5 linked regions of the Rattus norvegicus genome follow. The protein of the gene in region 2 interacts with the protein of the main gene of each other region in a pairwise test. Links are inferred from orthologs where the notes say so. Each region holds a gene or a part of one and is shown on either strand. Other genes may lie near its edges.

What was found.
Region 1: the proteins of Fhl3 (region 2) and Mrm3 interact in binary tests that used the Homo sapiens proteins (3 or more experiments, as listed by UniProt). The two-hybrid records come from large-scale screens. The link is inferred for Rattus norvegicus from reciprocal best matches to the Homo sapiens genes FHL3 and MRM3.
Region 3: the proteins of Fhl3 (region 2) and Sap30bp interact in binary tests that used the Homo sapiens proteins (3 or more experiments, as listed by UniProt). The two-hybrid records come from large-scale screens. The link is inferred for Rattus norvegicus from reciprocal best matches to the Homo sapiens genes FHL3 and SAP30BP.
Region 4: the proteins of Fhl3 (region 2) and Mrpl27 interact in binary tests that used the Homo sapiens proteins (3 or more experiments, as listed by UniProt). The two-hybrid records come from large-scale screens. The link is inferred for Rattus norvegicus from reciprocal best matches to the Homo sapiens genes FHL3 and MRPL27.
Region 5: the proteins of Fhl3 (region 2) and Ccdc198 interact in binary tests that used the Homo sapiens proteins (3 or more experiments, as listed by UniProt). The two-hybrid records come from large-scale screens. The link is inferred for Rattus norvegicus from reciprocal best matches to the Homo sapiens genes FHL3 and CCDC198.

What each region holds. Positions count from the first base shown.
Region 1 is NC_086028.1:61,596,183-61,602,540, forward strand, and holds the end of Mrm3 (rRNA methyltransferase 3, mitochondrial), read left to right. Parts: intron 1-1,389; coding exon 1,390-1,557; intron 1,558-3,949; coding exon 3,950-4,479; 3' UTR 4,480-4,683; downstream 4,684-6,358. UniProt on the Homo sapiens protein: S-adenosyl-L-methionine-dependent 2'-O-ribose methyltransferase that catalyzes the formation of 2'-O-methylguanosine at position 1370 (Gm1370) in the 16S mitochondrial large subunit ribosomal RNA (mtLSU rRNA), a conserved modification in the peptidyl transferase domain of the mtLSU rRNA.
Region 2 is NC_086023.1:142,235,787-142,242,221, forward strand, and holds the start of Fhl3 (four and a half LIM domains protein 3), read left to right. Parts: upstream 1-3,003; 5' UTR 3,004-3,051; intron 3,052-6,435. UniProt on the Homo sapiens protein: Recruited by SOX15 to FOXK1 promoters where it acts as a transcriptional coactivator of FOXK1.
Region 3 is NC_086028.1:101,691,141-101,696,819, forward strand, and holds the end of Sap30bp (SAP30-binding protein), read left to right. Parts: intron 1-80; coding exon 81-172; intron 173-993; coding exon 994-1,054; intron 1,055-1,380; coding exon 1,381-1,432; intron 1,433-2,199; coding exon 2,200-2,258; intron 2,259-3,529; coding exon 3,530-3,614; intron 3,615-3,874; coding exon 3,875-4,056; 3' UTR 4,057-5,118; downstream 5,119-5,679. UniProt on the Homo sapiens protein: Plays a role in transcriptional repression by promoting histone deacetylase activity, leading to deacetylation of histone H3.
Region 4 is NC_086028.1:80,089,788-80,096,242, reverse strand, and holds the start of Mrpl27 (39S ribosomal protein L27, mitochondrial), read right to left. Parts: upstream 3,899-6,455; 5' UTR 3,894-3,898; coding exon 3,848-3,893; exon of another isoform or gene 3,793-3,847; intron 1,368-3,792; exon of another isoform or gene 1,287-1,367; coding exon 1,161-1,286; intron 803-1,160; coding exon 735-802; intron 1-734. Other genes in the region: crossover junction endonuclease EME1, read left to right, coding at 6,182-6,455.
Region 5 is NC_086033.1:24,981,673-24,987,351, reverse strand, and holds the end of Ccdc198 (coiled-coil domain containing 198), read left to right. Parts: intron 1-4,217; coding exon 4,218-4,453; 3' UTR 4,454-4,655; downstream 4,656-5,679. UniProt on the Homo sapiens protein: May be involved in tuning the metabolism, energy expenditure, and excretion processes.

The sequences.
Region 1 (6,358 bases), on a different chromosome or scaffold from region 2:
GTAGTCAGGTGAATGCAAAGATGTCCATCTCCCTAGTACTGGGGAAGTACAAAGGGAAATAAGGGAATGCCATTTTTCCTATCAGAGTGGTAAAAACTGAAAGTAAACATGTCCCCTGATAAGCAGGCTTTGAGCTCGGAGGCAGATATTTATCATTCTAGACATGGCTGGAGAGCCTCCGAGGAGGGCAGTCCCATGGCATTTGTTAACATTAAGAGTATATGAACACGGTTCGTCCATTTCACTTGCAGGAATTTGGCCCAGAGAAGTATTCAGACATCTACAGAGTCTGCTGTGGACACTTAGTGTAGCATTGTTTTGTTTCTTTTTGTTTGTTTGTTTGTAATGGGTAAACTTTTAAATCTTTAACTGTCAATTACAAAACTGGAAAGGACTGGGCAGTGGTGGTGCACGCCTTTAATCCTAGCACTTAGAAGGCAGAGGCAAGCGTATCTCTGTGGGTTTGAGGTCAGCCTGGTTTATAGAAAAAGTTACAGAATAGCCAAGGCTACATACAGTGAAACTGTCTCGAAAAAGCCAAACCAACCAACCAACCAAACAAACAAACAAAAGACTGGAAAGAGCTAAACTCTGGCACATTATATTACAACGCTTAGAAATATATAGTAGCTGCAAATATACTGACATCAAACTTGTAAAGACATGTTGAGTGAGATAAGCAGGTCACAAAATGAGCTTTTTAAAAATTCGCTTATAGATATAGGTTATATAGATGCTAGATTTACAATCTAAAATGTTGCATGTGAGTGCTTTGCCTGCATATACGTGCACCATGTGTGTGGCTGATGCCTAAGAGGGTGGACTCAGATCTCCTGAGGCTGGACTTGAGAGCCACAGTGTGGGTGCTGGGAATTGAACTGAGGTCCTCAAGAGCTGCAGTCAACTAAACTGCTGAGGCAGCTCTCTAGCTCCTATATGTCTTTCATTTGCTTTCAGGTCCTGTCTTTATTGCTTTCAGAAGTGTTAAAACCCAAAGCTGTCTGTATGCTAGGCAAGTGCTGTACCACTGAGAATACCCCAAACCCTGGTGGATTTGTGTGTGACCATGTTATGTAGATCAGGATGACCTTAAACTCTCAGTTCTCCTGCTTCCAGCCACTTGCCACCACACCCACAATGGCTTTGTCAGTGTTGACAAGCACTGATAAGTATGCAGATATAGTTGGGTGAACAGAGTTCAGAGAGAAGGGTTGGAAGCAGATGGGGTTAGTAGTGGTAGAATTTTTGTTGTTTGAAGTTTTGTAGCCATAATATACTCCTGTTTTCATTAGGTACTTGTGAATACATAAAGAATGATAAATAAACAAAAAAGTCAAGCCATTCCCATGCACAGTCCAGACTAGTGAATCTTCTGTGTTGTTTCCCTAGGGATTTTTGCCAAACCTGACCCTGTTAAGATGACGTATCCAGAGACTCAGCTTCACCATTCACTGCCCTTACTGTTGATTTGTGACAATCTCCGTGACCCTGGGAACCTGGGGACAATCCTGAGATCTGCAGCTGGAGCAGGCTGCAGTAAAGTCTTACTCACCAAAGGTAAGAATACCTCTTTTTAAATGAAATAAGGTTAATTTCATTTTTAATTATGTGTACATGTGTATGTCTATGTGTGCACACACAAGTGCAGGTGTCTACAGAGGTCAGATTCAGGATGCCCCAGAACTGTAGTTCCAGGCAGTTGTGAGCTGCCCACTGTGGGTTCTGGGAGTCAGCCCCCCCAGTTTGTAAGGCCTCTATAAGAGCAGTGTACACTCTTCTCTAGCCTTGGAAAAGCACTTCCTCCCCAGTGGCTTCATTGGCTGTTTTCAAATGAGTTAGGGTTCTAGACAGATATGCAGGGTCTGACTCTCTGATCTGCCCCGGGTTGGGTAACTGCATATCCATAAACAACATGTTAAATGTCAAATATCTCGTCTTTAAAGTGGGAATAAGAAGAATCTTCCTCATGGTTGGTCTTTGTTTTTTTTTCAAGATTACTTGAAATGTCGCAAAGAAGCGTTCAGTAACTATTGCTTGTGTTTTAAAATTATTTAAAAGCTGTTTTGGAATTTCAGGTCAATAAAGGGAAGAAATAGGTTCCCATTTTATGAGATTTTATGGATATACACTAATTATTTACATGCCAAAGTTAAGACTTGGTTTAAGATCCTTGTTTATCTTGAGTTCTCAAAGTGTTGAGTATATGAGTCCTTCCTAAACCCCTGAGTTCTGAATCCCATGGAAGGAAAGCTGTCACCAGAGTGATTATGTGTTCTGGTACATTTTTCTTAGCCTCAGGGAAATGTAGTTACACAGCGATACACAAATTAGCCTTATTATATTTGAGCTTTTTCGCACAGAAGGGGATTAATAGGCTTGGTTCTAAACGTACCTGGCAAGCAGTTGAGACATGTCTAGAATGCCTTTTACACCCTGGGAGCGGAGGGGAGGGAGCATGTCACTCATCAGAGACACGTAAGCTACTATTAAATAAAAACTCATAGTGGAACAATTGCTGAGACTTGCCTAAATTGCTCCATTCAACTCTTTCCTGATACACTCTGTCCAAGTACTGGAATGACAGTGTGAGACCTAGTTTCTGGGGCTCCATTTTCAGTACCCCACCCTTCCATTGTTGAGTGCTTTGATGGCAGTGTAGTTTTGGAAATGTGTTCACATCACCGAGGACGTGTAGTTTTCACTTGTTCCCACTGGCTGGTGTGAAAGAGGTCAGGAAAGAGTAGGACAGTTGGTATGCATGTGGCAGAAGGAGCTCTCATCTCCTTACTCCTCTCTAGCTGAAGGAGTGAGACTAGACATCTGCTGACACAGATCTAGACCCATCTATTCCTTTCCTTCATCTCGGCCAAAGCCCGCTCCCATCTCTGGTTCCCTGCAGTGCTTAGGAAAGCCTATAGGTGGGGTGTCTGGGCATTAGTACAATCTCTGTCGGTCTGACAGATACCACCCTAAGCTTTAAAATGACTTGTCATAAGGTAGCCCTGTGATACTCGTGGTGAAATGCCTTCCTCCTACTTGCCTGTGGTGAGAGTAGGCATATGGACAAGTCAGTATCTGCTGGGCAGCCAATGCACAGGGGCCCTAAGGTCTAGATGTGACTATGTCAGAGTGGGTACCTCTAGCCTTCTCACTACAGCATGAAGGAAGGCCTTGGCAGGGACAGAGGACTAACTAGTTGGGCTCCTGCTTCCTCCCAGATTGCTGCATGAACTTCTTGCTTGGTTTGCCCTTCGTTAGTGTAGGGAGACTGTTCTAGTCCAGATGGACACTCAAATCAAATTGGTCTTTCTAAAAAAGTCAGATTTGGTCATTGGTTTGCTTAAGTCCTCCAGTGAATATTCTTGATAAATCTATGCACCTCAGCTTAGTACTCACTCTGTTATGTTGGCCGTTGCCTGCTTTGGCCTCCTGAGTCATCCCACCTGTCGCACAGCAGGCAATGCTTGCTCACTCTCCTTTGTCCTCTACCTGGGCCTCTCTCCAGCAAGATCCTCTCGTCCCTTAGGAGCCAGCTCAGTGTCACAGTCTCTTAGATGTTTAGTGTTTTCCTGCTCGTGCTTCCTTTACATCAGTTACTGTTGATACTGCGGTCATCTGATTCAATGTTCTTCCAGTACCACAGTTGATAACCTGCATTCCTGCAGATCCATGGTGGCATTTTAATCTCTGTTACATCCTCTGCAATGCCTGGCCCCTGTGTACAGATGCAATTAACAAAATCTATCTTAGCACTAGCAGCAATCAGTCTTCCAGACCCTTTGCTGGTCAGTGTCATCAGATGGGAGGTTCTTGGTCCCAGCAGCGGAGAAGACTGTAATGGAAAAACTGCTGGGTTATGTCTTGGTTAGAATTCAAGGGATTTACTTCATCATTCCTTTTGTGGTCTAGGAAGGTTTGTAAAGTCTCAATTGTATCCTTTGTCTTTTAGGCTGTGTGGATGCCTGGGAACCTAAAGTGCTCCGGGCAGGCATGGGGGCACATTTCCAGGTGCCCATTGTGAACAATGTGGAATGGGAGACAGTGCCCAATCACTTGCCCCCTGACACCCGAGTCTATGTGGCAGACAACTGTGGCCTCTATGCCCAGGTTCAGATGTCTAATAAAACCGGTGACCGTGACTGGGCATGTGATCGCCGATTCTTAAAGTTCCATAAGAATGAAGTGGACCTAGACACTAAAGCCAGAAAAGACTGGCTTCCCAAACTTGAGGTCCAGAGTTATGATCTGGACTGGACTGAAGCACCAGCAGCTCTGGTGATAGGCGGAGAGACGCATGGGGTAAGCCTGGAGTCCCTGCAATTGGCCGAGAGTACTGGTGGCAAGAGACTGCTGATCCCTGTTGTACCTGGTGTGGACAGTCTGAATTCAGCCATGGCTGCGAGCATCCTGCTCTTTGAAGGGAAAAGGCAGCTGAGGATAAAGATGGGAGACTTGAGCAGGGACAGTTGTTGCCATTGAAGGATTGCTGCAGGAATCCTCAGTGGGAGGGCAAGGGTGCCTCCAACCCCTGCTCTACTGGACTGCTGCTAGGAGGCTGGCCAAGGTGACAACTCAGGAGCCAGGAGGTAGGCATTGCCATCATTTTGTGATGCTGTGAAAAATAGAGGAGTTTCTGTTGTTCCTTATTAAACAACAAAGGTGAAGATTCTTTTTTGTTTTACTTATATGAGTGTTTGACTGCTGTATGTACGCTACACCACAAGGGTGCCTGGTACGTGGTGGAGGTCAATAGAGGTGTCATATACCCTGGAACTAGACTTAGGGACGGTCATGAACTACTATGTGAGTGTTAGAGACCAAACTTGTGTCCTCTGGAAGAGTAGCAGGTGCTCTTAACCACTGAGCCAGCTCTACAGCCCCATCAAAATTCTCCCTACGACCTCCCTTCTCCACTGTTTTTGAGATTGTGTGTACCTCATAAGCATTCTGCCAGAGCCACATTCCCAGCACCTTAGTGTCTCCTGAGAAGCTGAGGGCTGCAGGGCATGGCGTCCAGCAACCAGCTGTTCTTTGGTCTTCTCTGCAGCATCTCTGGGCTGGTGTGTTCAGGCCTTCAGTTCTACAGGCAGCTGATGTGTATTTTCCCCCTTTGCGGTGGACCAACAGAAGCCGTTCATCAGGTGGTATCATGCCTTCTTAGCACAGCCCCTCTGCAGTGCTGTTTGTTTGCTTTAAGACTGGGTCTCACGCTATAGCCCTGGACAGTCTGGAACTCACTATATGTACCAGGGTGGCCTTGTCCGTAGAGACCCACCTGCCTCTGCCTCCAGAGTGCCGGGACTAAAGGTGTGCACCAGCATGCCTGGCTTTCCAGGCATCTTTGCGAGGATTCTGTATGAGTAAAGGCCAGACCCTGAGTCTACTTTGCAACATAGCCTGTGCTGGAGGTGTCAGCTTGCTCACCAGCTCCTCGCTACTAGTTGTGGGTCTTGTGACACTATTAAATGCTATGATTTAGGGGGACAGCAAGATGGCCCAGGGAGTAAAGGTACTTGCTGTCCAAGTGTGGTGACCTGAGTTCAACCCCTGGAACCCATATAAAGGTGGAAGGAGAAAACAGACCCACAGAGTCTCCCTCTGACCTCTACACAGTAATAACGAGGATGATGAGGCTGTAAGTGGCTGCAGAAATGGCTCAGCAGGTAAGGGCATCTAACTGATAGTTCAGAGGACCCCAGTTTAATTTCCAGCGATCTATTCAATGGATCACAACCACCTTTAACTTTGTCTCCAAGTAATCTCCTGGCCTCCTCAGATGTGTATACTCAGATGTGCACAAACACAGACGCACTCATGTACATGTAATTAAAAATAAAAAAGGAACATTTCATTTTTAAATCAGAAAGCAACACTGGGTGTTGTGAGGTAAAGATCTTGCAAGGTCAGAGTGCTGAGGCTGTAATCATATTCCCCAGGGACCATTAACCCCTCAGAACACAGTGAGGTTGGAGAAGACCAAAGCAGGTAGTTGCACCTGCTGAGTGAGCATGGGAAGGAGTGGGACTGCTGGGATTTGGAATCCATTCTAAACACTACTTCTGCAACCACAAACAATTGGTTTAGAGTTGAGGTTCCAAGGAAAGTAGTTGTACTATATCCTCAAGCACAGCGGCTCCAATGACTGGGTTCCTTTAGGATTCCTCCGACTGCTTATCCTGGGGAGGCTGAACAGGTTGTTGCATGTGCAACGGAAACCACAGCACCAACTCCTTCCCTTTCTGTTCCTTCAGCTCTAGTAAGACTCTTGGGAGAACCAATTGAGCCAGCAGTTCATGTACGAGATGGCATGGCTTTGGGGTGCTTTAGGAGAGAGTACTGGTAGTTTTCTGTTTCGTTG
Region 2 (6,435 bases):
AAAAAAGGGCATCAGATCCCATTACAGATGGTTCTGAGCCACCATGTGGTTGCTGGGATTTGAACTCAGGACCTCTGGAAGAGCAACCAGTGCTCTTAACCACTGAGCCATCTCTCCAGCCCTGGCTCTGGCATGGTTTTTACCTCCAGGTTCCTGTCCTGCTGGAGTTCCTGCCCTGACTTCCCTTGATGCTGCTGCTATGTGGAATTGTAAGCTGAAATAAACCGTTGACTCTCTAGCTTGCTTTTGGTTATGGCGTTAGAAAACTAACAGCAAGCAGGCTCATGCAACGAACTATCTGTCTCGCCCCCCTAATTCTATTTTTAAAGAGAACTGACTCCAGAGAATTGTCCTCTGACCTCCGACACAAGAACACAGGTACACTAGCACTAGCACACACATGTGAACACACACACACACACATACACACACAAACCACCCACATATATGTACATATATATGTTTATTGGATAATTACATGAGTTCATGTATGTAAAGTGCTTAGGGAGTGGTGCGCACTGAGAGTTCACAGAGTCTGGGATCTTGGTAACACCCTTCAGTAGCACTTCAAGCCATAAAAACAAGATGAAAGATCAGAGAATGAAGTACCTTTACTGCTCACTCATACCTCAGGGCTCAGTCCTAGTTAGGGTTTCTACTGCCATGAGGAAACACTGTGACCAAAAGGCAAGTTGGGGGGGGAAACGGTTTATTTGACTTATACTTCAACATCACAGTGCATCCCTGAAGGACGTGAGGACAGGAACTCAAACAGGGCAGGAACCTGGAGGCAGGAGCTGATGCAGAGGCCGTGGAGGGGTGCTGCTTACTGGCTTGCTCAGCCTGCTTTCTTACGGAATCCAGGACCACCAGCCCAGGGATGGCACCACCTGAAATGGCACTGGACTGGGTGTTCCCCCATCAATCCCTAATTAGAAAAATGCCTGGGGTTGGGGATTTAGCTCAGTGGTAGAGGGCTTGCCTAGCAAGCGCAAGGCCCTGGGCAGCTCCGAAAAAAAAAGAAAAAAGAAAGAGAAAAAAAAAAAAAGAAAAAGAAAAAGAAAAATGCCCTACAGGCTTTCATACAGCCTGATCTTATGGAAGCCTTTTCTCAGTTGAGGTTTCCTCCTCTCGAAGACTCTAGCTTGTGTCAAGTTGACATAAAACTAGCCAGCACACTTTCCCACCATTGTCCTCACTTCATGTCAGGACAGACAGACAGACCCCTGCTGTCTGCTCCAACCAGGAATGATGGTGTTTCCTGCATTCCTGTACATTTAGAGTTCCCTAGACCTGAGAGACAAATCCCAGAGGAAGGGCCCACCCTTAGACTCTCTATTCACTGGCTAGACTCCTGATAGCAGGTGCCTGGCAGGGAGTAGCAGGGGGGTCTAAATGAAAGCAGTGTGTGACATTCTTTCCTCATTTACTGCAGGTCGAACACTGGAGTAGATACTGGGAATGCCGTAGTGAACAACAACAGAAACAAAAACAAAACAAAAAAACCCCGACCCAACCTCTGCTCTCGTGGCATTTGCAATTTAAGAATCAACAGCATTGGGGTTGGGGATTTAGCTCAGTGGTAGAGCGCTTGCCTAGGAAGCGCAAGGCCCTGGGTTCGGTCCCCAGCTCCAAAAACAAAAAACAAACAAGAATCAACAGCATTGTGGTTGGGGATTTAGCTCAGTGGTAGAGCGTTTGCCTAGCAAGCACAAGGCCCTGGGTTCGGTCCCCAGCTCTGGGAAAAAAAAAAATCAACAACATTGAAGCAATTCTTTAACTTTAAAAGGAAACCTGGTCTGGTAATTGTTTTAGGACCTAGGAACCAGACCCATGTTATGGAACGATCCTCACCAGCCTTGAAGGCTCTTAATCCCCACAAACTACCTTGGCTGGATGCAGCCTTGGATCAGGGAAGCCTCTCTGGGCATCTGAATCATCACGGAGATGCAAAGGTTATTACCAGGGTTAGTTTGTTGTCTCTTGTTTTGCAAACAGCACAACAGAGCTTCCCCCACCCCACCCCCGCCCTCCAGATCAAGGCTATTTATTTCTAGTGACAAGCCTGAGGATCCCAGGGGGGTTGGCCTCAAGGACCTGGATGGGCCTCATGTCCCTGGCAGGCGCCAGTCCTCCCTTCCCGAACCAGGGTAGAAGCTGGAGGGTCAGAAACTACACAAGTTCCCTCTCTTCTTAACCACCCCTGCCTACACCAACCCAACCCCTCACATTGTTCACACACCCTCTCAAGAAACCCAAAGCCAATGGGACCTAGGATTAGGGTCTCCCTGAGCCTGAAAGGTCAAAATTATTCCTGGGCACTATTGAAACCTCAGTGCCAGGACACAGCTGAAGATGGGGAGGCTGTTGCCTGGGCTTTCGCCACTCGCTTATAGAATAAAAATCCTTTGAAATTGAGGAGGATAGAGGCTCTCTCTCTTTAACCCAAGTTTTTAGAAAAAACAAAAAAAAACAAAAAAAAAAAACAAACACAAACCCTTGATCTCCACTGGTAAGTCAGAATCAAAACCACGCCTCCAGCAGGCTGGATTAAGGCCTCTTCCCAAGCTAAGGTTTAGTGTAACATCTGGGGATGAGCTAGAGGGAAAAGAGGAGGGGGTCTGGTCCCCAGATGGACTCTAGCTAAGTCCTGGAAGCCCCGTATCCCTGGCCTGGGATCGCTTCCAGAAATCCCCCGGGGTCGAAGGGGCGTAGAGGGCGGGTCAGGCTGCAGGGGGCGAGCAAGGAGTGGTCGAGAAGGTCAGAGCGCCAGATTCGCCTGGGCTGGGCTCGCGGCAGGCAGGAGGGGGCGGGGTCTTGCCCCCGCGGGCGGGTTGGGGGCCCGGGGGCGGGGTCCGGGCGGGGCGGGCCGGCTCACTTCCTCGGAGGCTTAGGGCCGCGCGCCCACTCGCCCACACAGTCTGTCGCAGCAGGCTACCTCGCCGCGGCTCTCTCGGCCCCCTCGGCCCGGCCCGCAGGTAGGAGCCGCCGGGAGATCGGCTCCCGCCCCACCCACGCCGCTCGCGCCCAAGCTCCCGCGCCCGCTTCGAGGTGAGAGTCCCCCCACCCACCCAGCTTCCAGCCCCTGTTTCCGCGCTGCGTTCGGACCAGGGTTGGCGCCCGGGCCCCCACCCCTGTCCTCTGCTGGGGCATCTCGAACACGGGATCCCGCGCGCCTGCACGGACCCCACCGCTCCGCGCCTCCCGGTCGGGCAGGGACCGCCCGAGTTGCAGGGGATTGGGACCAAGTTTGAACTAGAAAAGCTTTAGAGGTAGCGGGGTTGGAGAAACTGAGGCTTTTAAGGAGTCTGGTAGAACAGGGAAGGGCGCGCGCCCCAGGAGGCTACCCGGACCACACCAATGGTGGCTGAGAATGGCCGGATAAACTTCTCGAGGCGCTGCCGGGGACCCGGGTTCTGTGGAGCAATTTAAGAAGCAAAATGTATGACCCCAGGGAACTCATTGCTAGCGCCCTTCCCAGGGCCTTGGAAGGCCCCGAGGCTGGAGCTTGTTAGACTATGGCTAAATCTGCCTCCCTGAGGCCTAAAGAGACTCTCAGGTGAGAGACACTGAGACGCTGAGAGACCAAGACTTGGATGCACAGGGACAGAGATCCTCAGAGTGGAGGCCCCACTAGGACACAGTTTCAGAGATACAGGAACACCTTCACCCCAACACAAAGACAGCAGCCCAAGGGTACCGAGAGGTATGGAGTGGAGGCTAGAGTTCACTGAGGAGAGACACCTAGTGTATTCACTGACAGCTGCCCCAGGCCTGAAAGGGTGGAGGCAAAGCTAGGGGGAAATTGAGTCTTAGCCAGCCCATCCCCCAGGAGGCAGAGGACCTGAGGCTGTAACGCTGAGCTGAAGAAAGAGAGCCCCGTACAGCCTCTAAGACAGCGCCAACTTATTTTTAAACTCAAATCTTGGACGCTCTGCCTCAGCCCTAGGGGACTCTGGGGTGAATGAAATGTTCCTCTCCTGTCCTCAGAGCAGCTGCTGGATCCGCTCCCTTATCCCCTTCTCCCTAAACTGCTTGACTTCCAGGCCCTGTGGGCAAGAGGGGCGGTGGAGAGTTTGGGATTGGTGCCTGGTTGGGGGACAGGGAGAGGGAGGGTTAGAGGGGGCTCTAATTTCTCCCCTAAGTCTCTTGTCAAGGGGGAGGGGTCTTCTCTAAGTCTGAGTCACAGCTGTGGGGTCTGGCCAGGGTCCTCGTGGACTTGGGATATGTGGGGGAGCGGGAGGCGGGGAAGGGGGGTATACCAAAGGGTTGAGCAGTTGGCATGGGTGATTGGAAAGACTTCTGGGTGTCTTCCAATGGCAGGTTGACAGCTGGGGAGGAGAGCCAGCCCCGTCCTCCCCTCCCCCCATGACTGCCCCTTCCACCACTATCATAGCATTTCCAGGCAGAGCTCTCCACTAAGGGATAGGTCACTTGTGCTCCAATTGCTGAACAGTCTCGGTCATGCCCCTAGCCTGCCCCTAGTGTCTTGTGCTGAGCTCTAAACGAGCTATACACTCTGTCCTGCCTTTTGGTGTGCGGCTTGTAGTGACCGTGGGGTATGTATTGTGTAAATAACAAGACATCGAGCAAAGTGTGTGCCCCCGGGAACTACCCACCTGTAAGGTCTTTAAAGTTCCCCCTCCTCCTGTGTCCTGCTGACTGGTCTCAGTGGTTCCCTGAGACTCCTGAGGTCACATCCCAGGCCAATTCCCGCTTCAGGCCTGCCTGAGACCCACCGTCTGACCCCAGTAGGAGTTGAGGGGCTTGTAGTAAAAATACAAGTGACTACCGTTTACTTACATAAGGCTACAGACTTATGACTGGCCAGACACTGTTCTGGGGATTGTCACATTTAAGCTCAACAGCTGTCTTAGGAGAGGGAGGTAATAGTATCTCATTTAACTAGATGGACAGTCTCGGGGCATGTAAACTGTGTACCCAAGGTCACAGGATTTCAAGTCGGGTTTATATTTTGTGACCCAAGCAAGCTGTTATACACTGGACACCGTACAGAAAGATATGCTGCCACTCTGCTCTCGGAAGTTCACTGGTGTGTGTGTGTGTGTGTGTGTGTGTGTGTGTGTGTGTGTGTGTGTGTGTGTGTTCAGTCAGGCATGGAGATATGTGTGTTAGTGGAAATAGCAGATTGGGGTCATCTGGAAGACCCACTGTCTCCTCTAATCTACCCCCCTCCTAACCCCCTACTCCTCCACCCCCTTCACCTCCTCACCCCCCTCACTCTCCCACCCCCTACCTGCTACCAGGAATACAGACCATCTCCCAGCTCACCTTTCTAGTCCTCCAGCCTTGCCAGGGATGGGGGTGGGGTGGGGGGGACTGGGGAAAAGACAAGTGGGCCTTGGTGGTGCCCTTCACTCTGTCCTCATTAGAGACATAGATTAAGGGATTGGGAGATTCTGGGAAGGAAGCAGAAGGCACACCCATGCCCTATTTGGGGTGCCTCATCTCATTGTGGTGACTGGCTCTGAGGGGGTGGATCCAGGGCTAGCCTGGACCTGGGAAGGTAGCTGCTGCCGCCAAGCCCGGAAGGAAGGGCTCCCAAGTGGACTCACGGCCACAGACCACCTGTATTTGCTGTTGTGGCTAACAGCCCAGGCGATCCTCAGAGGCTGGGCCAGAGGAGACCAAGACCTGAATGACGGTGGGGGGAGAGAAGGAGAGGGAAGAGGAGGTTCTCTTCATCCTTTAGCATAACCCCTACCTGAGGACTCTCCCCTTTGAAGACTTCAGCTTTGGTCTGTCCAAAGCTTTGGTGTGTCCTGCTTTGGTTGTGAACCAGGTGTTCTCCCACCTTGTGGAAGGGAAAGTTCAAATTCATAAGCCACAAAGAGGTGGGCCCTTCAAGGCTTGGGACATCTGTTGTTGCCTGAAGTCTGAACTCTAAGGCAAGGCAGACCAAGGTGTTTGGTGAGAATTTACTGTACTTGCTGAGGGGGGTGTGTGTGTGTGTGTGTGTGTGTGTGTGTGTGTGTGTGTTTTGGGAGGGCGGGGAATGCCTTTCCTTCATCTTAAGCCAGGGCAGCTATGGAGAAGGGGGTTGGTAGGATCCTTTGCGCACCCCCCTTTAACTTCCTCCAGTCTCCTGTGCGACAATGACACCATCCCGACTTCCTGTGGGTCCTGGGGGATCTTCCTCACTGTCCAGCCCTTTGAAAGCTTGCTTCATAATGGAGCAGGGTGGAGCAGGGGAACTCTGACTTTGGGGCCAGGGAGACTGGAATTGGCCAGCAGAAGAGACCGGGAACCCCATTTCCCTGCCCCCCCCCATCCTTCATGCTCCTGTTCCAGAGGCAGCTGTGTGGGTGACCTCATCCCACAAACATGCTTTGTTCCTGAGAAAATGGAAAGTGTCTGAGGTTTGGTGGGGGGCTGGGTGTCTGCAGCAACAGCACTTAGGACTCCCCTTGTCTT
Region 3 (5,679 bases), on a different chromosome or scaffold from region 2:
AGTCAGGCATTAGATGGCTGGGGTGCAACAGGATCATGGGGGATAGGCTCTGTGAAGCTTACCCTCTGTCCCCTCCAAAGGATAAGATCCAGAAGCTCTATGAGCGGAAGATAAAGGAGGGGATGGATATGAACTACATCATCCAAAGGAAGAAGGAGTTCCGGAACCCCAGGTGAGGCAAGACAAACGGTAGACGGGGACCAGGAAAACCTGTGAAGGGAGGCAGGGGAGGAGAGCCCAAAGCGACTTCACCCAGACTTCCACTGATACTAGGTGCCTGGTAGACACACCAGAGATTTACTCATAAAATACAGGTTCAAGGTGTGCACCAGTCCACCATGATGGCTAAGAGACCTGGCTGGGTTCTGCTCCCCACCCTGGTCCTAAAGGAGGACATTCAACAAGGTAATCACCAGAGAGGTTCTTCCAACTCAGAAAGCTTGGCTTTGGCTCATGAAGGGTTTAGGGACAAGGTGTGTCTGGCTGGGTCTATTGTTATGTCGAGGTATTTGAGATAGGATCCCACTATGTAGTCCTGTCTGGCCTTGAACTCACAGAATCCACCTGCCTCTGCCCCCGCAAGTGCTAGAGTTAAAGGTGTGCATCACGCTGCCTGGCTGTGTCCCAGGCTTATTCTTTCAAATGCTCAAACTAGTAAAACACCCAGGGCAGGATGCGCCCTGTGTCAGCAGGGACTGAGCCCAGCCAGTTGTGTGGTCTGAGTGTGGAGGCCCATGCCAAGGCCAACTGAAGACCAGAAGCATCTACAGTAGACATAGCATTCAGATGCTGTCTCAACCGCCTTCTTCTGGCCCCAGCCGCAGCCTGTCTGGGGAGGAGGCAGGCATCCCATCAGGAGGCTGCATTGGTGGAAGTGATGGGTGAAAAGGCTTCATCCCTTTGTCATCGGTCCAGGAGCCAGTGGTTCTGATTCCATACAGGATATGGGACCAGTACAGAGCCTGCTCATGGGTTCTTCTGTTCCCTTTTCAGCATCTACGAGAAACTGATCCAGTTCTGTGCCATTGATGAGCTGGGCACCAACTACCCAAAGGTGTGCACAGGGGGTGGAGCTTGCTGTAGTGGGTGTGGCTTCATGCCATGGAACGTCTGTGGAGTGGCTTGGCTGGTAGTCTGGCAGATGCCAGTGACAGGCTTGGTCTCTGGGTCCCAACCAGTTAGAAGCCAGGACCGGGCCTGTGCCACTGCTACCAGCTGAGCGGACGCTCCTACTCTGCTCTTAGGAGCTTCCTGGCTTTGTGGCTGGTGATCAGGGAGCCGGCTGAAGCCCTGTGCCTTCATGAGGGCTGGGGCCCTAGCCTAGGCAGCTCCTGTGCACTGTGGTGTCGCTCTGACTACAGTTTAACCTCCTCTTTGCAGGATATGTTTGATCCCCACGGCTGGTCTGAAGACTCCTACTATGAGGCATTGGGTAACCTCTGTAGCTTTCTGTTTATCTACTCATCCACACACCCATCGGTCTGTCCATCCAGTCAGTGACTTAGGTGACCCATATCTCAGGCAGGGTCTCTGTGCCGGGCCATGTCTACAGGGCTTCTGTGGACAAGACTGACGGTGTCCCTTGCTGGCAAGACTTGGACACAGTACAGGCAGATGGGATAGTAATTCCCACACTGATGGCACTGAATTAATGTGAGCAGAGCCAGAAACCTTTGGCAAGCAGAGCGCCTGACCTGGCCAAAAGATTGGGAAGGCCCTGTTGAGGAGACCGTTAGAGCAAGGTTTGGAGAGGTGCAGGGGCCAGAATGCCCGGGGCAGAGGAGGTGTGTGTTCTAAGGCCAGGGAACACAGCACAGAGCTGGGAGTAATTTCACAGCCTGAGCCTTGAACCTGTGAGTCCCCGTCACAAGCCCAGAGCTTGTAAACCAGGTCCTGGCTCATTAGTGTGTGTATATGTGGCCCTTACAAGTTTTGCCTTATTTTAAGTTAGTTCCCAATATTTTTATTTACAATATAATTCTGTATCTAGCGTTCCTTAGTCAGTAGGGTGGTCGTTCACTGTGAATGAAGCTCAGGAGCAGCCCCCAGACCCTTGGACCAGGCCCATGGTCCACGCTGACCAGGGCCTAACACTTCACCTGCTCCAGTGCTGAGCCCATGCAGCCCTTTAGGCCAGTATGAGGAATGCAAGGTCAAGGCAGTGACCTCCTCGGTCACACACTGCTCATGTCTCCACAGCCAAGGCCCAGAAGATTGAAATGGACAAATTGGAAAAGGCCAAAAAGGAGAGAACGAAAGTAAGTAATGACTGACCCTGGGGCGGAGGTGCTGTGAGGTGTGCAGGTCCTGCTGCTGAGTGGAAGAGTCCGGCTTCCCAGGCTCCCTGCCACCCCTACCCTTCATGTCTAGTGAGGCCTTGAGCATCCTTGGCCTTGGCCTCTGTGATGAGCAGACGGCTGTCTATGGAAACCACTGCTCAGCTGTGGCAGGCTCGGCGTCCCCGGCATTGTGCCCTTCCTTAGCCCACTGCAGAGCCCTGGGGGCTTTGCCTCTTATGGCTCAATGGTGCTCCAGCCTGATGTGAAGTAGCTGTTCCTTCATGAGAGTGAGGCTAAGGCCTACTCTGCGTTGTGCATTTCTTGGCCTGCAGAGCTGACCTCCACAGCCAGCTTGTGTGGGTTCCTATGGATCTCATGTCTGAGAGCCACATAAGCCATCAATTTGGACACCACGCACCACTTCTGTAGCAGTGTCATCAGAGAGGGTCTGCCAGGAGCTTCACGATCCCCAGATTGTCAGCTGGACATGAGAATACACCTTCTCCTACTCTGGTTAGGGCTGAATTCCTCACAGCAGCTGTGACCCACAAGAGCCTCCCTTACCTCCAGGCTGAGGGCTGCAAGGCCTGGGGGTGTAACTGGCCCTTTCTGAGGCTTTGTGGCCAAGAATGTGGGAGTGGTGTGAGGGGGAGGAACTAGGTTTCTTGTCCTTTTTTAAAATGTGCATATGTATTTTATGTATATGTGTGTATGCCTGTGTGACAGAAGAGGGCATGGATGGTTGTGAGCCACCATGTGGGTGCTGGGAACCAAACTCGGGTTCTCTGGATGGAACCACTGAGCCATCTCTCCAGCCCCAAGTTTCTTGTTCTTAACCATTGAATGAATCTCCCCCTTCTTTCTCTTCCTCTCCCCCTAAACCCTAGGCTTAACACAGGTCTGGGGACCACAGCTGTCCTTCTGTGCAGAAGATAGCACTTCCTCCTGGATGTGAGGAGGAGAGGCCTGGCAGCTGGTTTAAGGGGACAGTGGGTTGGGTGCCGGTCGGTCATGTGTGGTAACTTGTGATGCTGGGAGGGACCCCACATCTGCTGGGAAAGTGTTTGGAAGAGTGACAAAAGCCCCTCAGGCACCTCCCACTCTCCCAAGTGCTCCCAGCCAAGATGGTTTTCAGGGCCTCTTTTGTTTAATGCCGAACTCTTGTGCCCTGGGAGCAGACAGATGGACGGACAGCACAGGAAATGGACACATGTCTCTGCAATGGTCTTATTGTCCTCTCTCCTCTCCAGATTGAGTTTGTAACAGGCACCAAGAAAGGCACCACAACCAATGCCACGGCCACCACCACCAGCACTGCCAGCACAGCTGTCGCAGGTACAGGCTGCTCATCCCGTCCCTGCACCACCTCAGGGCCTCCAGATAGAGCGGGAGGTTCATGGGTTTGTTAGAGAGGGACTGTGCCAGGCTTGGCCTTGTGTGCTCTGCCAAGTATGAGCATAGCAAGGCTCCCAGATTATTGACTTCCCTCTGGGTTCCTGGACCCAACCTGCCTCTGGCCTGCCGGGAAAGGGGCCCTGCCCTTGGGGTCCTATTGGTTGGTGCTGATCTTGACCCCTCTCTTGTATCACCTCTAGATGCCCAGAAGAGGAAGAGCAAATGGGACTCGGCCATCCCCGTGACGACAATAGCGCAGCCCACCATCCTCACCACCACAGCCACCCTGCCAGCAGTGGTCACTGTCACCACCAGTGCCAGCGGCTCCAAGACCACTGTCATTTCTGCCGTGGGTACCATCGTGAAGAAGGCCAAGCAGTGACCAGAGGACACCCCAGGACTTGGCAGGACTGTGCAACCCAGTAACTTCCACCCACTGGGAGGTGCCTTTGTTTGGGACTGATACGCACTCCCCACATGCCTTCCAAGAGGAGCCTCGGCATTCCAGCCGGAAGGACGTCACAGCAGAGGCAGTGTGTGCATTGGACAGGGTCTGTGCGCACACCTCTTGGGTCTCACCCAATTAAAAGTACTGCTTCTTGGGTCCTGGCATGTCAGGTGCACTGGCCTCTCCCACGCTGCAAACCTGAAGCTCTAGTGCCCTTCGTAACAGTCAGGATTGTGGCTCAGGATGAACAATGGCCGACAAGCCACGGGAGTACTCAGAGGGGTAGCCCAGGGAGCTGCCATGGTCATTCCCAGTGTATGCCCAGGGCGTGGGCAGGTGGGAGCTCAAGGAGGGGCCACACACATAACCTTTCCTGTTGTCTATTTTCCTATTCTCCTGATCCAGAAACCAGTTCTGAACAATTCTCCGGCAATAACAGAGGCCGCTGCTCTCTTGGGTGCAGTTAAACACTCCCCACACTGCTTATGATACACACCCAGGCTTTTGAAATCAGGCCAGATAACAGAGGGCTGGGTGATTCCCAACCTGCCCAGGGCAGGAGCAAAGTGTGGGCACCTGGCCAAGGCCGCCCCAGCCCCTCAGTGCCCAGTGAGTGTGGCCAGCAGGATCCACGCAGTGGGGGAGATGAATCACCTCCTGCTCTGGCCAGGGCTGCCGCTCATTGTTTGTGTGAAGGCGCTGCTCTGGGGAAGGTCTGCCACCCCGCCCTTCCTATGTTGTTATCTCTACCCAGCAGCAGCCCTTGGTAGCACCAGCAGCCACTCTGTGGGCCCAAACATTCGCCAGCCCGACACGGAGGGAAGCTTGTCTTTCGTGCCCTCTGGCAGCTCTCCCTCCCATTCAGCGGAAGGACTGAGTGTCAAAGGAGGAAGTGGGGCTGTGAAGGATCCCACTCCTTCCATGGGACCAACAGAGATGGCCTCTAAGGTTGTGTTGGGTATTTGTGAAATACCCTAAAATGAAAACCCTGTCACTACTGTCGTCCCCTTCTGTCCTTGACTGCATGTGTCCCGAGCACCTCCAGTAAGGTCTACCCTGCAGGAGGCTCAGGACACCCAGGTCTGAGTAGGCACTTTGGGAGATGAACCAAGGACGCCAACACCTTGGCTCCAGTCCAGTCTGCAGCAGCCCTGAACCAGTCCTGTGGAGCCTCGGAAAACACTACCTAAGGGCTTCGTGAGGGGCCTGAGCTTCACAAAGCTCAGCTGAAACCAGCCTCATCCCCACCAAGAACTAATTAGATAGGGTCTCCTGAGCGGGTCTTTGAACGTCTGATTCCTGCCTTTGCTTCCTGAGTGCTGGGATTGTGAACATGAATCATCACACTTAGTTTATATGGTCTGAGGGATCGGATCCAGGACTTCCTGCATGCTAGGCAAACGCCAAGTGAGCTACATTCCCAAATTCTACCAGGGATCTGTGGGGATGGGATGCTGGGGACCTGGCTGTTTGCTGGGGACCTCCAGACTCTCAACTGCTGCCAGTTCAGTCTCCTATCCTGTACCGAGGGATTGCTGCAACCCACGTTTATGTAAT
Region 4 (6,455 bases), on a different chromosome or scaffold from region 2:
TACAGATGGTTGTGAATCAGTATGTGAGTGCTAGGAATTAAACCCAGGGCTCTTAACGGCTGAGCTGTCTCTGAGCCCCTTTGATTTTTTCTTTCTTTCCTTCCTTCCTTCTTTCCTTCCTTTCTTTCTATTGGTCTTTTGAGATAGGGTTTCTCTGTGTAGTCCTGGCTGTCCTGAAACTTGCTCTGTAGACCAGGTTGTCCAGAGATCTGCCTGCCTCTGCCTCCCCAAGTGCTGGGAGTAAAGGTGTGCCCCACCAGGCCCTTTTGATGTTGTTTTTAAGGAAGGAAAAGTATTCACTGAATCTGATTCTGGTTGAATAGAAATATTTCTTCCTTTAGAGTCATAAAGGGGGAAATGTCTATAAAAATTATAAATTGATAAAAAAAAACCCTGAAGACACATGTATCTGTAGAAGTACAGCCCTTTCAGAAGATAACCGTATCTAAACCATATTATTTCTAGGTCCTCGGGCAGCTGCAAGTGCTCATATGTCATTTATTTAACTTTCTTTCATTTCCTATGGAAGAGAAAAATGAGACCCAGGGCACGCTATCTGATGGTAGGCAATCGCAGCTTTAACTGGGGTCCACTCCTCTCTGAGCCTCTGGCATTTCAACCATAAAACAGAGATGACATCTGCCTCAAAGGGACAGGCTGAGGACACAAGGCATGCACATGAAAAGGTTGCCTAGGAAAGACAAGAAATGGGGAGAGAGCACAGAGCAACTCACATGGGCGCCTGGGTGCCATCTGAACTGCCGCTGAGTGCCAAGGATGTTGCCGGCATGAACGTAGTGACCTGAAAGAGAAGTCCAGTGAGCCGACTCCGAGACATAATCACAGAAGCCCAGCCAAGTGCTGAGAAGTTACGGCAGCCCACGGGCCCACCAACCCCCAAGCCTGCTCCTGGGTGGACCTCTAAGATGGTCCTACATACAGGGCCCCATCCAGCAGACGCTTTCTCAGTTGCATTGCCTAAGAAACTGCAACTCACTGAGGCCCCTGCTCCTCCCCAGAGCTCACCTACCCTTTAATGTGGGGACAAGTGTTACAGTGAAGGGCAGAGATGCGGGTGAGCGAGGCACCCGAGTAGCATTTTGGCTCTTCTAAGAGCAGAGCAGCACTGTAGGAAAACAGAAACGAAGGCACACCCTCACCTTCCATTTTCTTGATGCCATAGTGTTTGCCTCGTGATTTGCCACCAAGGTTCTTAGAACTGCCACCTGTCTTCTTGGATGCGGATCTGACAGCAAGTGCTGTAGGTGCTGTGGGACTCAGCAGGGCTGTCAACGCAGAGAAGGCAGAGACACTGTTCAGAGAGGCTCCCAATTTGATGCGCGTTCTTTGCCTCTATGGACCATTTGCTAAGCCGAGAAGTAGCAAGGGAGATGAGAAAAATGAAAGATGTGTGAAAGGAACAGAAACGCTAAGAATGTGGTGTTCAGGGAATGCCTGGGCAGGCCGCAATTCCAGGTGGAATTGGTCCAGAGGTAAGCGGGGTACGGGGGTGGGGGGTTGTGACTGGTGGTGATGTGTGTATCAGGGAGAGCAGACAGTGAACATAAATAGGGGGAGAAAACAGCTTGTGCTCTGGCTCCTGACACATTCAGTCCAGCTGAGCAGAAACAGCACAGAAACAGATGAAGTGGACACTAGACAGCTGCCTCCTTCAAAGATTCACTCTCCTGCCCAAGGGAAGGGTCAGACCACGAAACGTGCGGGGCTTCTGCTTCAGTCTCACTCTTAGCTATCCGCTGAACACCAGAAAACTGCACCAGAAGGGCAGCCCGTCAGAGGGTGGCTCCTGCAAGCTACTGGCCATTCCAGAACAGTCTTTTCTTCCCAGAGCCCATAAGCAGAGACGTCTGCCTAAGATCAGCATTAATCTGACCTCGCCACTCATCACCACAAAGGACTCAACATTTACCTTAAAAGGATTAATGATGTGGGAGGCGTTCAAGGGAGTAGAGATGATCAAAATACACTATATACATGAAATCAAATTCTCAAAAATTAAATAAAAATACTTTTGAAAGAACATTATCTTAAACGCATACTAATGGGGCCAGAGAGGTGGCTCAGAGGTTAGCAGCAGTGACTGCTTGCAGAGGACCTCGATTCAGTTTCTAGCACTTCTGTAGTGGTTCGCAGCCATCTCTAAGTTTCAGGGGACCCAAGGCCTTTTCGTACCTCTGCTGGTACCAAGTACACCATGCAGTATGCATATATACACACAGGCAAAACATTCATACACATAAAATAAAATTCAGACTAACATGGGCAGTTGGCTGTCTGTTTTTAGTTTCTGGGTATAGTTATAGGATCTTAGGATCTAGTATCAGCACAGTTAGAGAGGTTTTATGGGTGTTTGGGGCATACATTCACAGTATTGATTACCTTGGTCTCTCAAATTCCCATGAAAACAGAAAGTTTCTAGGATACAAGACTAGAGATAGGAACTCAGAGCAGGCCAGGCTGGGCATAGCAGCACATTCGAGCCTTTGATCCCAGCACTTGGGAGGCAGAGGCAGGCAGATCTCTATGAGATCACAACCAGCCTGGTCTACAGAGTGAGTTCTAGGACAGCCACAGCTACACAGTGAAACAGTGTCTACAAACAAACAAACATCATCAAAAAAGAGCTTACAGAGATATGTTCAATGTCCAGCAATGGAATAGAATTTTCCTAACCTTAATCCCCTCCCCCTCTCCTGTACCCCTCTCCTGTAGGCCTTAAACTTGCAATCCTCTGGCCTCTACCTCACATATAACCTGAGGTTACAGGCATGCACTTCCTGGCTTCATTTACCGACTTACTGGTGACTGATTTTTTGAAATAATGTTTTGTCTACATTATTTCATTCATAAATGCCTGCTTTTGTGAAAAACAAGAATCTACAGATTACTTCTCTCATTTTACAGACCAGTAAGACTTGTGGAATCTATCTTCAGAACAAATGGATGTCATTTTCACCCACTACCCTCCAAGCTCTCTACCATCACCGCTAATATCTTGGCCAAATCGTCCTACAGCAAGTGTTCCAGATGGTTTTCCATGTAGGATATTTTATTTATTTATAGCTTTTGAGACTGTGACCCAGGCTGGCTTTGGACCTGATGCAATCCTCCTGCCTCAGACTCCTAAGTGCAGGGATTGCAGGCACCAGCATTCCCGGTCCCACCAGGTTTCATTCTTATTCTTATTTATTTCTTTGCTCAGCCTGCCTCCTCTGGTTTGCTCCTCAAAGTGTAAAACTGTCTACACGGGGTTGGTTGGGTCTGTCTCTTTTAGGTCTTAATTGTTATCTCTTGAAGAGCCATCCTTGATGCCCTAATCTAAGACTCTTCACAACACTATTTACGATTACAACTAAGTTACTCACGTGTTTACTGGCTGAACTTACAAGGCGTTAGAAATCATGTTTATGCTGATACTCTGAACAGGGTCTCATCAGACCTAAAATACCAGCACGAAGACGGCAAACTTCACAGTGAGGACCTATCTCAAAAGTGAGGATAGGGAAAAAAAAAAAAGCCAAGTCCTGAATATCTGCTGAATGACTCGACTAAATTTTTTGAACTTAGTCTTCTTCATATACGAAGGAATCCACATAAACCCAGGGGCACAAGGTATCTGGAATAACTATCACCAACAGGCATTCATTCTCAACTACCACCCTCTGCACAGCACCGCCCACCACGTGTCACGTGACCGGAGACAGTCCGCCTCCACGAGTCCCGAGTTCCACACTCCTTCCCTGTATGTAGAATTCACACGGGCTCCGGTTTCCATCTCCCGGACTCCCTGGTGTTTCGCCCCGCAACAACCACAGTGCTGAGCTACCTGCTGCCCGCGTCCTCAGCGTAAGGGCCGCCGCCGCCGACGCCATGTTTGCTTCACATTCACTTCCAGGCTGGGAAGTCTGTTTCCGCTACCGGGATAGATCTACTTCCGGGTCTTGCGTACAATTCAAAGAGTGGCGGGAGCAATAACAGGTGAGCGCAGATCTCTCAGGGTTTATGGCTGGGACCTCCAGAGACTTTTGCAATGGATCGTGGGCCTCAGAGTCGAGGCGTGTGGCCGGCACGGACATTTGTACCACTCAGGAACCAAACGAAAGTCCCTAGGGAGGGACCAGGGTGATGCTCAGCCAGATTCCAAGCCAAACTGGTTGTATACGCACAATTTCATTTAATTCATTTAATTACAAACCTAAGTTATTTGTTTTATGCTAAACTGAGATCCAGGAAGGCTGCAAGCATTCACAACCTACAGTCACTAATTATTTGTTGAATGAATGACTCTTGCGTGTAACCCAGTAACTTCAGTGCACACACAAGAGAACTGTGAAAACATAGTTATTCAGAATATTTGTATGTGGATATTTGTAGCAGCATTATTCACAATAGCCAAGAAAAAAAGCACGGTAACTGTCTATCAAGCAATAAATGTGAATATTATTCAGCTATTAAAAACGAGGCAGTACTGGTGCATAGTATGGCCACAGAAGGACCTTGAAAGCATGACGGTGAAAGACACCAGTCACCAAAGGCTCATACTGTGTGCTTTTGTGAAGTAAAGTACGTAAGCCCATAGAGACAATGGATCTTGTTTTGTTTTAGGCACTGGGAGAGGGAAAGAACTTTTTTTAATTTTTAAATTTTCTTAAAAAAAGTTTTAAATGGTTATAGAATTACTTTTGCTTTTGAGAAGTCTCACTGTATCATGTAAGCTGGTCCTGAACTCAAAATACCTCCTCTATCTGCCTCCCAAAAGATGGGATTGCAGTTATGCACCAGCATGCTCAAATCGTATCGGATTTCTTTTTGTGGTGCTGGAGACATTCTGGAATAAGATGATGGTAATGATTACACAACACAAATATGCCTAGCCCCATTAGTCTGAATGAATGATTTATTTATCTGTTATTTGTCATGCTGGGATTAAAACCCACACATGGCTCTACACATGCTAAGCAAGCACTCTGCCATTGCTACTCCCAACTCCTAGAGTACAGTTTTAAGTAGTATACTCTATTTATGTGAGTTGTAAGGGCTTGGGGTTTTTCTGTTTTGCTTTGTTTTTTTGTTTTTTGTTTTGTTTTGTTTTTTGGGTTTTTTGTTTTGTTTTTTTTGTTTTTGGCCTGTGTGAGCACATGTGTGCACATGGGTGTGTGCACAGGCATGCATTCCACAGTGTAGGTTGAATTGAAATCCAGCTAGGTGACATGCATCTTTGCTCACCAGGCCATCTTATTTACCTATGTTTTTATTTAAAATTTCATTTATTTTTATTTTTATATTGATGTGGAGGCCAGAGGAAGGTGTTGGATCTCCTGGAGCAGGGATTACAGGCAGTTGTGAGAAGTATCCAGGGTGGATGCTGGGAACTGCACCCGGACCTCTCTAAGAGCAGTATAAACTCAACTGCTGAGCTGGCTCTCCAGCACCGGCATGGGTTTTGTTTCTTATGTTTGTTTTTGGTTTAGAAAGATCTCCATGTTGGGGTGGGGGGCAGTGAGCTATGACCCAAGTGGTAAAAGTGCTTGCTGCCAAGCCTGATGACCTGGATTCAATCCCCAGGACTCACACCATGGAAGGAAAGGACCGACTCCCTGAAAGTAATCCTCTGATTGCCACATCTAGACTGGGGCATGTATATGCCCACACATACACAAATATTTTAATTTTTTTAAATGATCACCATGTTAAATCAAAAATTATTGTGCACACTTGTGATTCCAGCGCGTGTCAGTGCAAGGCAGAGGGATCTGGAGCTCACACTCATCCTCAGCTGCGTGAGTTCAAAGCCAACCTGAGCTACAAGAAACTCTCAAAAAGACAAAACAGAAAGCTCTGTCAAATGCAGGGGTCAGCAAAGAGAGAGTAATGAGTTTTTGTTAGGATTCCCATTAAAGTTTTCCAACAGTAACCATTTTGATTATAACTCTCCATGACCTGGAAAGGTTTTGAAGGAGAGATCCTATTAGTGTATCGGTGTGGCCATTTTGAGTCCCAGATTGAATGTGTTGGAGCATGTTCTATTTCTCTGATTCTCTGAGCACATTTATCTTCATAAGGCTTGTCTTTGCCAGCATGTCTAGTGGACCAGCGTGAATAGTCTCATGTATGCCTCATCTTTCCTTTAGGCTATTAAGTTGATAGCTCTAATGGGTTGATGGCGCTAAGAAGGTTATCCCTCTCTCTGCTGTCCACGGAGAGTGACTCTGAGGAACTGCCCACATTCGCCTTTCTGAAGAAGGAACCAGCTTCAACGGACAGCAATCCACCTCAGAGAGAGAAGAACATTGTTGTTGTCACCTCAGATATTGAGGCCTCCTGTCCTCCATCACCAGGCTTAAAAGACCCACCATGTGTCCCCAGTGCAGCGGAAGCTCCCACACAAGCAGGGCCAGTCAGAGTGCTGAGCAGTAGCAGTGAGGATGAAGATG
Region 5 (5,679 bases), on a different chromosome or scaffold from region 2:
GTGATGAAACTGCTGACAAGAGTTCTGTGGAAGGAAGAGCTTGCTGGTCCTCAGTTCCAGGATATAGTCCCTTATGGCTGGGGAGACATGATGGCGGGCGAGGCTGGTCGCACCGTGTCTGCAGCCAGGAGGCAGGCAGAGATGGATACTGGCCCTCCCCTCCAGCTTGCTCTCGCCTGTCTTTTCTACCCAGTCCGGAACCCAAGCTTACTCATGTTTAGGGTATGTTAAGAGTCTGGAAGCACTCTTACAGATCCACCCAGACTGGGTGACTCTCAATCCAGTCGAGCCGACAATGAAAACTAAATGACACAGGAAGTGGGGTATCACCATGCATTTCTTTGAAGACGGGGAGACTGTGACTCAATAAAGTTTCCCATTCTCCTGCTGCTCCCACTCATTACACAGCCCTGAAGACAGAAACTTGCAGGTACTGGGATAACAGTGGACAGAGCTAGCATTTGGAAAGCGATTTTAATCACATTATTGTGTTCTTCCTCTACGGACCACAAGAGGTCAGGATTATTCCCATCTGCTTTTTTTTTTTTTAAGATTTATTTATTTAACTTATGTAAGTACACTGTACACTGTCATTGTCTTTTTTTTTTTTTTTTTTTGAGTGAGGGTATAAACTTTTTTTTTCATCTTTATTAACTTGGGTATTTCTTATTTACATTTCGATTGTTATTCCCTTTCCCAGTTTCCGGGCCAACATCCCCCTAATCCCTGCCCCTTCCCTTCCCTATAGGTGTTCCCCTCCCCATCCTTCCCCCATTACCGCCCTCCCCACAACAATCACACTCACTGGGGTTCAGTCTTGGCAGGACCAAGGGCTTCCCCTTCCACTGGTGCTCTTACTAGGATATTTATTGCTACCTATGAGGTTGGAGTCCAGGGTCAGTCCATGTATAGTCATTAGTTAGTGGCTTAGTCCCTGGAAGCTCTGGTTGCTTGGCATTGTTGTTCATATGGGGTCTCAAGCCCCTTCAAGCTCTTCCAGTTCTTTCTCTGATTCCTTCAACGGGGGTCCCATTCTCAGTTCAGTGGTTTGCTGCTGGCATTCGCCTCTGCATTTGCTGTATTCTGGCTGTGTCTCTCAGGAGAGATCTACATCCGGTTCCTGTCAGCCTGTGCTTCTTTGCTTCATCCATCTTATCTAGTTTGGTGACTGTATATGTATGGGCCACATGTGGGGCAGGCTCTGAATGGGTGTTCCTTCTGCGTCTGTTCTACACTTTGCCTCCCTATTCCCTCCCAAGGGTATTCTTGTTCCCCTTTTAAAGAAGGGGTGAGGCATTTGCATTTTGGTCATCTTTCTTGAGTTTCATGTGTTCTGTGGATCTAGGGTAATTCGAACATTTGGGCTAATATCGACTTGAAAGGACAGGTCCACGACAAGGTCACAGCCAGATAGCGAGAGATGAAACCTCTCAGGATGCTTCACCCCAGAGGCTACACACTTGACTACTCTTGCCTCTGGCTCTAACAAAGGCCCCCTCCAACTGATCACACGGGACCTCTCTGACTGTTTCCCTATCTTCTAAAAGTGGTTGACTTCGCTTTCTCCTGGGAGTAGAACGCAGCCAAGCTCACTTACAGCCCTGAGCATTCTGGTAGTTGGGGTCTGACAATGGAGGATCCTCTGTTCCAGCACTCACTGGTTTAATGGTTTATCTACCATTTCTTGTTTCCCTCCAGAAGGCAAGACAGGAATTTTAGCCTTTTGTGAGACACGAGCTGAGCTTTCTTTTCTGCTGCTTCTTTAAAACAAAACCACCTTTAAATTGTTTTTATTTATTCGCATGATAAATTACACATATTCGTATAAAATAGGTAGCTATGTACAGCATAAAGTGAGCTTCGCTCTTTTTGATGTGCGGTTCTGTGAATTTTACGTTGTTCGTGTGGCCACGCGCTGTCCAGAGGCATGACATGGATTCAGTTGGAGGAAAAGCACAGCTACTGGAATCAAAGTCTTCGACTGAGATCCAACAGTGCGCCCTCTCTGGGAGTAGGCCCATCTTACTCTTCCTAGAGCAGAGTCTTACCTACGGCAGCCTTTCGATCATAGGTTTTTCTGCATTGCTCTAAGTTTTAAAAGAATATCTAAGTACACTTATTGTTGCGCTTTGGTGACCCTATCTTTATGTGTGTAAAATGGAGATCAATAGTATCAGTCATGTAGGGTTCATGTAAAGTTAATCTCATGTGTATAAAAAGGACATGTAAGAGCTAGGGAGATGGCTCCACCGGGAAAGTGTTTGTCCCACCAGCTTGAGGACCTGAATTTGGATCTTTAGTACCAATGTAAAATGCCAGATCATGGCAATATGCATTTATTATCCCAGGGCTAGAGACGCAGAGATAGGGGGACCCTTGAGGCTTGCTGGCCAACCCAGCTAGTCAAGTCAGTGAGCTCTGGGTTCAGTGAGTGGCCCAGTCTCCACAATTCAGGTGGAGAGCCATTGAAGTGACACTTGTCCTGAACCTCCAGCTTCTGCGTGCACCCATGCACCCATATTCTTCACCACCCCCAGTGCACACACAGAAACTGTAAGGTTCAGACAAACATATAAGAGTCTGGATAAAATATAAGAGAAAACGGAATTGATGTCTACATCAATTACTTGTCTCATTGAAGCAACTTAAGGAAGGAAGGATATATTCTGGATCCCAGTTTCAGTTAATGAAGACCAGTGGGGAAGTATGTCAGCAGGGATAGGAGACAGCTGCCTACATTTCATCCACAGTTGGGAATCGAGGACAATAAATGCATGTTCTCAGCTCACTCTCTTTTATTCGGTCCAAGGCCCCAGCTTATGGGATGGTACCACATTCAGTGTGGGTCTTCCCACCTCAATTAACTTAGTCCAGACAACCCTCCTGGGCATGCTCAGAGGTGAGGCTGGTCTCTTCAATACTTATTGGAACCCGGCAAGATAACAGCCAACATTAACCATCACAACGTCATAGACGGAAACACCTTATCTTTCAGAGAAAGGTCACCCTGAACCTATCATTTCAATGTCACCTTCACAATTCTAAACCTTCTCCATTCCCCCTATACTATTTAACTACTAAATCTCTAGTTTTTAAATAGATTTGTAGCTTTGTCTTTGAACTACTGTGATGTGTGTGTGTGTGTGTGTGTGTGTGTGTGTGTAGCAACGATAGATTTTTCTAAAACACCTATTATAAAATACATGACAGCCAAGCATTTCTCATGCTTTCTGTTTCCTATACCATCCAAATCACTCCTTATTCCTTTAGTACACATCAGAATACATTGCCTTCCCCTGGGGCTGGTGGGGGAAGGTTAATCCTGGAGTTTTATACACTGGCTTCCACTCTGCATGCCAAAATCCACTTAGGTTTCCAAAGGTCATGATTTTTGTTTTTATTTTTACTGTTTTTAAATCTATAAACCGTACACTATCACACAGAAGAATGTTGTGACAACTAGCTCAGATGTCCTCAAGCTTCACTGCTTGTTCCCAGGACTGTGTATATTGTACCTTATTAGTGACAAGACTACACTTTTGGGAACCGTTTCCATAATTCATCACTAGTGAGAAGGATGAGACTGAAGGTGTGCGTCTGTATCACAGACAATCTGAGACTAGAGTGATCTTGGCCCCAAGAATGCTATGGGACTTAAGCTAACGTTGATAGTACATTAGAACCCACAGCTAACAGCTATTTTCTTTCCACTTCAAAGCTCTACATCCAGTTACAGACGTTCTAGAAAATCTCTGTTCTCAGTGATGTTGCTTGCAGTCCACAGCTCATTTGGAGGACAGAGATAACTAGCACACTTAAGCTCTCGTGGTTGAAGTAGTTCCCAGGTTGGGGTTGCCATTACTTCCTGTGTCCAAAGTTCCTCTGATTACTCATTGGTTCCTTCATTTTTTGGTTCTCTTAATGACAAAAATATGAAAGTGTGTGTTTTCAATGGGTGACCCTGAACTCCTGAACCTCCTGCCTCCACCCCCTGAGTTTTAGGAACATGGGCATTTACCACCATCCCATTTTTTTATGTGCAGTCCGTGTTGTGCATTCTAATCAAACACTCTACAAACCGAGCTATTACAGGAAAGGTTAATATTTTCCTTCTAATATTCCTTCAAGTAAGTTATTCTATAATAATAAAATCATTTTCAATAATCATTCTTAAGGAGAAATTTTTTAAAAACATACAAACTTTTGCTCTTTTGCAGAAAATGCCCAGGATGAAGAATTCTTGGACTATCTCACAGAGGATGACTATTTTGTCCGGAACACTGGCAAAGTGGAAACATGGCTCCGAGCACAAGAAGCCCAGGGGCGGTTTTTCTGGAACAGTTCCAGCTCTGACTCTGGTGAGCTCGAGAAAGAGGAGAGGAGACCACAAGCACTGGTGAGGACCAAGACAGAGAAGATCCCTCTTTATGATGACTTTTACGACAGTGCATAACAAAGCTACCCCAGGGAGTGAGGGCACGGAATGCCTTCAGCTTGTTCTCTTCTATAAAACCATTCATATTTGCATATGGATTACTCTGAGGGATGTGAGGTATTTGGGAATGCAGAGAAGATATCATCCAGAGTCTTGTGGTTTAATAGCCTTGCCATGTATGCTATACTCTACGCCTTAAAACTGAGGGGTTGAAACAAAAGTCATTTGTTTGTCTCTCTTTTCTGTTGGTAGCTGGGCTCAGTGAGGTTGTTCTGTTGGTCTCCTAACATAGCTTATGTAATTGGACATCATATGGCTGCTAAGACTGGACTCACATAGATCTGAGCAGGGGCACAAGACAACTGGAATCTCTTCACAAAGTCTGTGCAGCAAGGTAGTAAATTTTTCCTTTAAACCAGTCCAGTGTGTCTTACAACAAATATCCCAGCTAGAAGAAGCCAGAGGACACAGGCATGACAAGTATCTAGTCATTGAACCCATCCTAAGCCACTTCTACCATTTCCTATCAGTTAATGCAAGTCATAGGCCAAATGCTAGCCAATGAAAAGAATGTGTACCAAAAAAATGTCCATCCTGGAGACTTTCAATAACATCATGCATCTTAAAACTTGACACTGGTTTTTGCCTTTAGAAGCATGTAGCTGGGCATGGTGGCACTCGCCTGTAATCCCAGCACTCAGGAGGCAGAGGAAGGCAGATCTCCATGAGTTTGAGGCAGTCTACACAGTGAGCTCCAGGGCAGCCAGGGTTACACAGAGAAAATTGGACCCAGGGGCAAAGGAGAAGGGTGGGGAGAGAAGAGGAAGAGGAAGAGAAGAAGGAAAAGGAGGAGGAGAAGGAGGAGGAGGGAGAGGGCGGTGGGGAAGAGGAGGAGGGGGAAGGGAGAGAGAAAGCAGCAACATGATAATAACATACCTGTAATCCCAGTACCAAGGATACTGAGTCAGAAGAATTCATGTCCAGCCTGGGCTACACAACAAAAGCCTATCTCAATCAACTGATCATCCATAAAGACAAATTAAATCCTATAAAAATAGATGAGAATACACTTATATAAATACAAGTGAGCTTTTAAAGAAACATCACCATGATGCTACAAGAGACACTAAGATCACTCAGGCTACTTTGTAAGTAAGTTGCCCATGTAGAAAGCGTTCACACAGAGATAAAGAAAATTCTCTGCAAAAGGTCATTGTGGAAATAAAGCTCAAAATGCAGACTTC